Linked DNA regions of Mytilus edulis. The protein of the gene in region 1 interacts with the protein of each later gene in a pairwise test. Links are inferred from orthologs where the notes say so. Each region holds a gene or a part of one and is shown in the gene's direction. Other genes may lie near its edges. The genes, in order: thymidine kinase, cytosolic-like; COP9 signalosome complex subunit 6-like; histone-lysine N-methyltransferase SETDB1-like.

Evidence for each region.
Region 2: the proteins of thymidine kinase, cytosolic-like (region 1) and COP9 signalosome complex subunit 6-like interact in a two-hybrid assay, tested with the Homo sapiens proteins (2 studies listed by BioGRID and IntAct). The link is inferred for Mytilus edulis from reciprocal best matches to the Homo sapiens genes TK1 and COPS6.
Region 3: the proteins of thymidine kinase, cytosolic-like (region 1) and histone-lysine N-methyltransferase SETDB1-like interact in a two-hybrid assay, tested with the Homo sapiens proteins (2 studies listed by BioGRID and IntAct). The link is inferred for Mytilus edulis from reciprocal best matches to the Homo sapiens genes TK1 and SETDB1.

Annotation. Positions count from the first base shown.
Region 1 is NC_092352.1:45,351,153-45,354,913, reverse strand, and holds the start of thymidine kinase, cytosolic-like, read left to right. Parts: upstream 1-1,609; 5' UTR 1,610-1,697; coding exon 1,698-1,763; intron 1,764-3,114; coding exon 3,115-3,146; intron 3,147-3,328; coding exon 3,329-3,442; intron 3,443-3,761. Other genes in the region: cilia- and flagella-associated protein 184-like, read right to left, coding at 1,422-1,436. UniProt on the Homo sapiens protein: Cell-cycle-regulated enzyme of importance in nucleotide metabolism. Catalyzes the first enzymatic step in the salvage pathway converting thymidine into thymidine monophosphate.
Region 2 is NC_092346.1:85,905,527-85,909,287, forward strand, and holds the start of COP9 signalosome complex subunit 6-like, read left to right. Parts: upstream 1-930; 5' UTR 931-998; coding exon 999-1,170; intron 1,171-3,761. UniProt on the Homo sapiens protein: Component of the COP9 signalosome complex (CSN), a complex involved in various cellular and developmental processes.
Region 3 is NC_092350.1:57,977,741-57,981,501, reverse strand, and holds the start of histone-lysine N-methyltransferase SETDB1-like, read left to right. Parts: upstream 1-1,533; 5' UTR 1,534-1,627; intron 1,628-3,761. Other genes in the region: ATP-dependent RNA helicase DDX55-like, read right to left, coding at 1,071-1,458. UniProt on the Homo sapiens protein: Histone methyltransferase that specifically trimethylates 'Lys-9' of histone H3. H3 'Lys-9' trimethylation represents a specific tag for epigenetic transcriptional repression by recruiting HP1 (CBX1, CBX3 and/or CBX5) proteins to methylated histones.

The DNA of each region.
Region 1 (3,761 bases):
GAAAACAGAATTTCACATTAGAATTTGGAAATTATAAAGGAGAAAGGGTATGATTGCTGATGAGACAACTATCCAACAGTGTCCTAATGAAGTAACTACAAGTCACTGTAGGGCCTCCATTTATAATTTCACACCTGTAGTTTTAATGATCATGATGATAGGTCAGTCACATAATCACACAAACAAAATTACCAAAATCAAAAGCAGTTAATACAATCTAACTTGACATCCAGGTTTTCATTTAGAGTGGAAAAAAAGATATTACTGAGATGTACATGTATGTTTCAATGAAATTGTATTCAGCATCAAAAGGCATTGCCAGTTACCATCAATTAGTAAAAAATGTACACAAAAATTTCTTTCTTTCTTTCTTTCTTGTGAATCCATAAAAATATTCTATCAACTTGACCCACTTTCTACAAAATGCTCCACTTCTGTAAAAAAATCTTTAATCCCACTTTGCCCCACTTATGATGTGAATTTTAACCCTGATAACTTTAAGCCTACCAACTCATCCCACCAATGAAAAGTAGTTTAATCTGATTAATAAGGATCTAGTCCAACTCCCCACTTGTTGACTTATGAAAACAAGAACAATGTGCATTTCACCCATAGGGAAATGGTCAAGATCCAAAATGGTAGAGGTTCTAAATGATCAAGGTCTGAAATGGCAGAGGTACAAAATGGTCAATGTCCAAAATGACTTGCTACTTAATTTTAGCTACATGTACCTGGCGCGACATGCACATTGTCATTTAGGATATAACTGTATTGTATTTCAAGCTCCAACAGCATCAATTGGGGATTTATTGGGGATTTGATGGTCGCAAATTAAGTTTACTGGTGACGTGTTATCAAATCCCCAATTGATGCCATCAGAGCTTAAAATACATTATTGTTATTGTTCTAATGAAACTGACAGAAAACAACGTTAAATCATGTAATTAAAATCTGGTATATGCCTTCTGCACTTGCGTGTACATCCCATAGCATCAACTGTCAATTGATGCCATGTACAAAAGTGACGTAATCCAATCAAAATGAACGTTACAAACGTTGTTGCATTAGAATGAATAATAACTGACATTCAAAGTCTGGTTCATTATCTTAAGGAGTGATGGTTCAAAAACTGTTGGCAAAAAAACGTGTATTAATGATTTGACGAGGTGTTGAATTGTCTGTATTGGTTGCCGATTTGACCAGGTGCCGAAGTGACTATAATTCTTTTTTCGTGTGATCAATATTGACAAAAAGACAAGAAAAATCATCAACTATTGCCTTGTAATAAATATATATATCTTTCTTCTGATGAGCACATGACCAATTTACTTTTTATCATAAACTCAATCTTAAAAATAGATTTTTGAATGATATGTTTCGGTTTATCTAAAGAAAGTTTGATTTAAAAACTCATATCCCACCTCTTGGTCAGCCATATTTGTTGTTAGGGAAAACAATGTAGATGGGGTTGCAATTTTCCCTCCAGAATATTTTTTATTATTAATTAGTTTTTGTAGCACTAATAGTTGGGCGGTATTATTGTTTAAATTAATTATCAAATTTATATACAGAAATAAAAAAAAACATGAATAAATTAAATATAAACACTGGTGACGTCATTTTTGGAGGCAATTTTAAGCTTGCTAACTCGCGGCAAAATCAACTACGCAACATTTTTTTTCCAGAAAAGCTAGAAAATGTGTTCCACTGGGCATATATTTAATTCTCCAAGACTTAACAAGTCACCGAGAGGCCAAATACAGGTGAATATGCTACTTTTTGTGATGTTAGACTCTTTTTATGAAGTTTTATCTGTTAGTGAGTGTTTACGTTTTATGATTCTGATTGGAAACAAAGACAAAACTCATAATCGTCGACACATTCATGTTTCGTCCCACTTCTGCATGTTCACCACTACACATTTCCCTAACAGTAACTAAGTTTTATATGGTATTTGCTAGTCTGACTTTACATAATGTCTTTAAGTGCCATCAGAGACATATAATACATATTATATGTCTCTGGTGCCATATACATTTTTTGTTTTATTTATTTATGATATTATTTATATAAATAGGTTACGGCTAGGACAACTCCTTTCATAATATGAGGTTTGTAAGTGGGGGGAATAACGGTGAGAATTACGATGTTTTTTTTGGTGCATGCCGATAAAATGATCTTTCTTTTTGACGATAAAAAACCTAATTATGTTAATGAATGACATTAATTATTCAAAAAATAACGGTAACAACAAATATTTGAGACCTCTCAGGCTCTGACGAATCACGATAAGGATATTTTGATGAATCAAGGTAACATTTTAACCAGTTTGACACTTAACATTTGCTGAAAAAGACGGCCTGATGGTTACAGGCATTCATACTTTCCATTACATTATCATATTATGAGCGACTATTCATTCAACTAATTCCTGAAAAAAATGCATTTATCAAAGAGGGGGAAAGAAGATACCAGAGGAACATTCAAACTCATAAATCGAAAATTAACTGACAACACTTTGCTATATAAAATGAAAAAGACAAACAGACAAATAGTAGTACACAAGAAACAACATAGAAAACTAAAGACTGAGCAACATGACACCCCAACAAAAATTGGGAGTGATCTCAGGTGCTCCAGAAGGGTAAGTAGATCCTGCTCCACATGTGGCACCTGTCTAAGAAATGAATAGTCCTTTAATATTTTAACAAGGGAAGAGAAATTCACTTTTTTTAATAGAATATTTTCAATATATAGAGACTGGTCTGTACTGTCGACTGTAGCGTAGAAGTTTATCATAAACCAACAAATTATTTTCATGACTATCTGTCAGATTCAATTAAGAAATTTCTCTTCAAATATTTTTTTGTGTGTGCTAAAGACAAAAAAATACTTAGAAATAAATTTGAAATAGTACTTTCCTCAATGTTGAAACTTTTTACAGTAACTGATAATGCATTCGTGTATATATTATACATCTTCTTATCCTTGATACTGATTTGGAAAGGTGTCATCTGCAGCACTGATTTAATTTGTCTAGGGTGATTTTTAGTTCATTAGCATAAAAATACATTAATAGTGCAACATTTAAAAGCCTGTTTTATTGTTTTCCAGGTGATATTCGGTCCTATGTTTTCTGGCAAAACGTAAGTAGAAATTTTTAAGTACAATGTATGTATAACTTTTTAGTAGCCCATCAGAAACCCAAAATGACTTTAATTTTGATATAAAAAGTTGAACAACTTTAATAGTCAATCCACATAATTTTACAAAAATCATGCCAATACAATTGACTTTATGACTGGTATTTTTTGTTTGTATATTTTAGGACAGAATTGATGAGAAGAATGAAAAGATACCAGATAGCCAATTATAAATGTTTGGTAATTAAATACTCAAAAGATGACAGATATGACAAAGAAGGCATAGCTACACATGACAAGTAAGTTTAGTAAATCTTGAGTATTTACCTAGGTAAGTTGAGGAACTCTTGCACATTTACTTGGCAAGTAGAATAAACTGTGTTTACATAGACAAAATAAGATCACACTGAATGTAGAATATTTAAACTGGTAATTCAATTGTAATTTTAAATGATTAAAAGTACCAAAATAAAACAACATAGGAAAATCAATTATTTAATCCTGAGATGGTAGTCTTTCTATAAATGGATTAATACATATGGTTTATAATTTTAATAATGAAGATAATGATAAAAAAAAAAAACTAGTTTACCATAAGATTATGTGGTTGCATGAACT
Region 2 (3,761 bases), on another chromosome or scaffold:
TTTTAATGTGCGTATTTTTATGCGTTTACATTTCTGCATTGTCTAGAGGTATGGGGGAGGGTTGAGATCTCAGTCATGAACATGTTTAACCCCGCCGCAATTTTGCGCCTGTCCCAAGTCAGAAGCCTCTGGCCTTTGTTAGTCCTGTATTATTTTTAACTTTAGTTTCTTGTGTACAATTTGGAGTTTAGTATGGCGTTCATTGTCACTGAACTAGTATATATATATTTGTTTAGCCTATATAGGGGCCAGCTGAAGGAATATTGGGGTATGTTGGGGTATGAATGTAGGACAGAAAGTCACAGGACAAAAAGTCACAGACAAAAAGTCACGGACAAAAAAATCACAGGACAAAAAGTCACAATCAGGCAGTTTTTAGAATATTTTTTTTTAAACAAAAAAAAAAAATAATTTTTAATAAAATATTCGTTTTTTTCTTGAACTGTGATAAACAAAGCAATTTTGTAATTAAAATGTATTTAATAAATATCAATACTGATCACATGATTGTTATGAAAACAAAATGTCAAAGTGACTGTGTACTTAAACGGCTTCATGTCGCCAAGAAATATCTCCTTTGCATGATTAAAATTTAATAAATTTTCATTTACAAAGCTTATGAACAGTGTCCTACACTTAGAAATGAATAGATGTAATAAAAAGAAATGTTTCAAGATCTTTCTCTTATATATATCTTAACAATTGATAAAATATTAATTGTGACTTTTTGTCCTATCAAATTTGTGACTTTATGTCCTGTGACTTTTTGTCCTATGACTTTCTGTCCGTTTACCTTGGGGATTGGCGTAAAAAGTCACGCCGCACAATTGACTCAGAGCTGGAATAAACGGTCCGAGTTGACCTTACAAAGACGGTCCGAGTTTCCTACGGGCCGAGTAAAGCATATTCAAATAAGCATTTAAATGATCAAGATCATCAGACGTCAAAAGTTACGTCCCTTTAAAGTATTTTTGTTTTCTTTCTTTTTTCTGTTTTTTATGACCATGGCTTCTCAAATGGAGATCGATACACCTTCTACTAGCATGACTAGTGTGATGGCTAGCACAACTGCATCAGGAAGTGTTTCAGTGTCGTTTCACCCACTTGTCATAATGAATATTTCTGAACATTGGACAAGAGTACGAGCCCAAGAAGGAAAACCAACACAGGGTAACATTACCATAGATTATAAAAGTTGTTGTACACATGGCAGAAGCAAAATCACATTAAAACCCATGTTTGCAATAGAAAAACAATTAACTGAAGGCATGTTAACTCTACTTTACTTTAACAGGTTGGGAACAAACCCCCTGTATGGTGATTATACCTCTATAGAGGGATAATCCTTCTTTAGAGGGATAAAATTATCCCTCTATAGAAGGGTATTTTTGTTTGCACTGGATTTAAAGCAAATTAGGGCAGAATGGCATTTTCTAGCTATATTGGCTACAATCTCTAGCATTATATGCATCAACATATGCACTTTACTAAAAATTGGGATAACCAGTTTTCTGCTAAAGTGACAAAACTTGCAATCTATTGTTAACCTATCTGAACACTTGATCAACAACAAAAGGAATAGTTGACCTTTAAATTTCATGTTAAATCTAACAATAGAAATTCTGTTCAGTGAGGCAGAAGTGAGTAGAATTTACCTGATCATCACAGCTTTCAATCATGGTGAACAATAGATTTTATATTTAGTCAGATAAGCATGAAACTGGGCATTTGCATATTAAATTAAGTACATCAATTGGTGCATCAACTGTTCCAGGTTACTGCCATAATAAGTAGAGAATGCCATTCTGCCCTATATTGATTTAAATCCAGTCTGAACAAAAATATCCCTCTATAGAGGCATATAGAGGATAATTTTACCCCTCTATAGAAGGATTATCCCTCTATACAGGTATAATTACCATATAGAAGGTTTGTTCCCTACCTGTTTAAGGAACATTATTGAAATTTCGTTGCATATCCTACTCAGCCAGGCTACTGTGAGTACTGACTACTGTGTACAAATGTATGTAGTCTAAACATTTATCGGTCATCTTGTTAGTTCAATCGGTATTTGTGTTTGAACTTAACACACAGGGAAACTACACATTGACGTCACTAAGCTACTTCCAGTGTAGAAATTAGTGCAGAATACTTTTTTTCTACTCTTTTGAATTACTTCACAAAATCCCACTTCCTGCCTCCATTGCTTTGTGTACATTCCATTCAGCGTCATCAATCTTGTGGCAGGCAATACTGGTCAAGCAAATTGTTTTTTGGGATACAATCGCTTTTAAGCAATCTGTAAACTTATACCATTGACTTCGGGCCATGCCCTCACGTCAACCATTTTCTTTTAAACAGCAAGGAACTAGATTGTCTTGCTTTGAATGGTATAAAAAACAAAAGGATTGAATTTAAACAACTGTCCTATAATGTTCTTCTAATAATCTTCAATCATGTTTCGATATTTCCCTTGACTTGTATGGGTGTTTTTAACAACACAGAAAATCAGAATTAAGCAGTATTTATATTTAGTGTTTTTATAAATTTAGAAACACGTCAGAGGGAATTCCCCAGTTTTGGTAATATGCAAGAGTTCTCTGAATTCCGATAAATCTATGTCTGTCATATAAGAACTGAAGTGGAGTTTTCTTATATATATACATTTTTGTTGTACATGTACATGTATGTCACCATTATGAAACTGATATTTGATATTGTACTTCCATAAAGAACGGAGGTTGTTTTTAATATACGTCCTTGCTACAAAGAACAAGTCTAGGGTTTGTTAAGGTAATTATGTGCATGTGTATAGTTTTCTTGACTTATAGGGGTATCAGATTGAATGGTTGCTCTGGATTCCCCACTCCATTGATTAATTTGAAACTCACAAGATCCTTTCTATCCGTCTATGTCTGTTGAGGGTTATTGTTGTTGCATAATTTTAAATCATACTAGAACACACCCGTGATATCGCGGGTCCGTGACTGATATATAACTATGCGTATGCCTTATTTTAGTATTGGTATTGTCATCTGATAAAGTCATGCCGATTATAACATGTATAACGTGCACAGTTTTCTCTGCTTTCAAAATCTTTCTGTTTGAACCCGTCGACCTGGAACCTATCAATTATTGGTAATATTAATAATTTGGAAAACAAAAGGGCCTGGAATGGAGTATTTTTTACTCAACAGTATACAGCAAAATTCTAAATACACTGTTTGGTGGTGCGCCTGTCAGATGCGGAACGTACAGATAAGGTAATAGGTAACAGGGGAATATACTATTGGTATCGGTGTCGGACTCGATCCGGAACTTCTTAATTATTGGCAATATTAATTACGTGGAAAACAAACGGGCCTAGAGTGGTGTAATTTTTAATCAACACCATTGTACTATATTAGTTATATATAAAGTTGAATTCTTTGATTCATCGTTTTAACGTGATGACGGCTGACAAATTGGACCTCGTAATTTTAGTATTATAGATGCATCATTTGAATTAAAATAAATGTAGTCCTTAAAGTATAGGTGTAACTAGAAAACCCCTTCAGCCAAAATGGAGTCTTCCATATTATTGCTTCGAGTTGTCTCCCTTCTGTAAGTAACTTTCGTCAAACGACGAGTTGAGTAAAATTAACTCATTCTGTTGATAGACGTCGTACTATATTAAAACTGATCGCTATTAAAACAGAGGAATGTGTACGAAAAGGAGTCATGCCCACTGACCCAAAGGAAATTAAATATTTAAAGAGTTA
Region 3 (3,761 bases), on another chromosome or scaffold:
GATCTGTATGGAAAACTTGGCGATTTTACTGCCAGATATTCTCCACTTTACAGGGTTTTGTCACTTTTGGTTCATGTCAGATATAAATAATTTAGCGGCATCGTTAACATAATCATTCTGATATGCGGATTACAAAAGGCCATCCCTACATAGAATACAACGTCCGTTTACAAATTAGTTTGTACACACGTTAATACTTTTGTATCAAACGAACTTTTTTGTAAATGAACCCTGCTCTTTAAGTTTAAAGGTACAGAGTAACGTACTTCATATCATGATTTCAGAAAGCGTTCAACATCGATTTCAAACAAATGCTTTGAAACTTCAAATGCAAGTGTTCATGTCAAACGCTCAGGTGATACCAAACGGACTGGACCTTATACGTAAAGATAAAACCCGAGGATTCCGGTAAAAAAGTTTTGAGCGGGAAATACAAATATAAGATTTTTGGTAGGAACGAAAAAATAAAATAAAATAAAATCTTGCTGGTAAATACAAATAAAAGATTTTCAGGCGGAACGAATTGATAGGGTCGGTCGGTAATTATAAAGGGCAAACAAACAATATTTTAATTTAAGCCTAATTGTTTATTTTTAATCATGTTAATGACAGATCCATGCGTATTGCTATCACCGGATTTTTACGAGGAGGGTCACGCTTAGGTCACTATGCATACGGAAAATATGTCGGCCAATTGCTTCCTGGCAGAAAGACAACTCTAGCTTACAACCTTTATGAACATAATGTTACTTGAATCAGTGATTTAATAATCACTCATTTAAGTAAGTCTCCTGACTGTCCAGACAAATTTTGATGAGTCCAGGACTCATGGACTCGCCTTAGTGAGAACCCTGCTCTGACGTCCCACGGCCCCAGCTTGTCTGGAACAACAGGTGTTGGACATCAGAGTAATCTCGGACTAGTGTTAATACCACAATACCAACATGGATCTAAACTGACCGAAACCTAGACTTATTCCGACCTGACTCGGACCACAATGTACATAAACCCCCAAACGTAAAAGATGGCCAACTACATGTATCTTAACTTAAGTACAAAATGTAAATTGCCTCCATTTTTCTTTAAAGCCTCTATCATTTCGTCTTGGTCCTTCCCTCCTATTATGAGAGCAGATGTCATTCCAGGAAACTTTTTTAAAAACTCTGACAAAACTTCATATATCTGGCATGCTAATTCTCTGGTAGGTGTAATTATAATTGCTCCAACTTCATGTTTTGAAAGAGGTTCTTTCTTGTGCAACATTTCAAGAATTGGTATTAGAAAAGCCAATGTTTTGCCACTTCCAGTAACTGCCTCCGCGGCTACATCTTTGTTTTTCATGAACAATGGAATACATGCTGACTGGACAGGGGTTGGCTCTTCGAAATTAAGTTCCTTTAAAATGTTACAGATCGGTAACGAAAGACCGATTGACAAATTTTTCCACGTGCCAGCCATTTTAACTGGTACCTCTGACAACTTAAAAAAGAGCACAACGAATAAAGTTCAAGGATAATAATAAACCAGTCAGGCACGACTCTTTTTAACTTCAATGGAAAGAGTGCCTTTACAAACAATGCAAGACAAGAAAATATGCACGCCGATTTGATTGCTTCATAGTTTAACTGTAAGTTGTGTATGCATACTAATTGAAAGTTAATAAAGGGTTAAACTAACATTAGAAAAAATAATACTACCTACTTAAAACAGAAAAAATGCACAAGCTAATATAAATATATGAATAATATTGCTACTGATTTTTTAATGTAATACTATCAGCAGGGTCTCACTAATTAGCGACAACAAGCGTCAAGAAACGACAACAAGCGTCAACAAGCGACAAGAAGCGACAACAAGAATTATTTTAGCGACAACAAGCGACAAGAAGACTATTTAGCGACAAGAAAACATTTTTTTTAAATTAGATATAAAGAAATTTGTATTTAATGTTTTTTTTTTAAATATACGAGCAGATATGTCTAATTAAAATGTTTTATTATATAGATAGACAAAGAAATGAAACATTTGTGAGGAAGAAAGAGATTTTGAAGTTTATATTAGTATATTGGTAGATGAAGAAATTTAACATTTGTGAAGAAGAAAGAGATTGAGCTTCTTTTTTTTATTTTTAAATATGAAGAATATGTATAAGATAATGTATGTATCTGTTTTCATCAAAGTCAAAGTATGAATAAACGAATGGAGATATATATGGAGCATAATGGAATATAATATTTTGATTCATTTGCTTAATACTATGCTCTAAGTGTACTCTTGTTATGTCAATTCGATGCTTTATTTATAGAACTCTCAGCCACGCTTTGCCATCTTTATCATTTAAGCGTGTTTCCAGACCCCACGACGAGGACGTGGTTCTACCTTGGGGTCTATATATTTTTTTTTTTTTTTTTTTTAAAACTATTTTTAGTCATTATATAGTAATATGTACATTCCTATCTAACATAATATTTATACATTTTGTACATGGTGGTCCCATTTTGATAAGCAAACATGTGGAACATCAAATGAGATTAACGAGTCGCGTGTCCCCTGTTTTATTGCTACAATAACATCCAATTAACACCTTCAACTTTGAACACGCGTCAGACTATACAATTACACGTGCCAGAATATACAATCATTGTAAATAATGAACACCTGTTGAAAACTCAAGATTGTCATTAATTTCCTTTCATCTTCAATCAATATGCATAAACATGAAAGATATCGTTTAATGAGGCAATAAACAAATAAAAAGATGAAAACATTCACATTTCAAATTTCTTTTCCTCCTGTTTGATTTCAGTTCTTTGTATTTCACAATTTGTGTCAATGTTTTCAGGACAATGATGCACAAATAATTCATTCTGCGAGCTTAATATATATTGCACGAAAAGAGTTAAAAAACAAATTATAAGAAATAATATGTTCTAAAACACAAGGAAAAGTAATCTCATAATACAATAATTAAACGTAATACTGGCTGTTATTCATAATAGATGATAAAATATTATGTAAATAATGTTTCATTTTTTTCTATCAATTTTAACTTTCTTGTCGCTAAAATTATTTTCTTTTGCATATTCTTTTAATATTTATTGCAATAATTAATTTTAATTAAAAAAAATGTTTTCTTGTCGCTAAATAGTTTCTTGTCGCTTGTTGTCGCTAAAATAATTCTTGTTGTCGCTTCTTGTCGCTTGTTGACGCTTGTTGTCGCTAAAATTCTTGTTGTCGCTAATTAGTGAGACCGCTATCAGCATGATCAGTTACAGTTGTACTGTTACTAATAGCGTTACGTTACTGTTACAAAATGTAGGCTTGAAGTAAAATCAGGAGATCATATATATATGAGCTACGGTTGCATGAATCATGGTTCTTTCGCGCCCATTCACGTTCACCCCGTTTCACGTTTGCATAGAAAGTGATGCTAGTACTCACCCCAAAATGACAACCATAACAATATCTAGGGATGGTGTTTATAAACTTATTAAAAACATAAACCCTAATAAAGCCACTGGTCCTGATACCATCGCAGGCAAAGTACTGAAACAAAACATTGAGATATGTACAGACATCCTCACATTAATATTCACCAGATCATTAGAAACAGGAAAAGTACCATCTGACTGGAACCATGCTAACGTCACACCTGTATTCAAAAAAGGGGACAAACACAACCCAGGTAATTACAGACCTATATCATTAACATGCATAGCTTGCAAATTACTTGAACACATCTTTGCAAGCAGCATGATGCA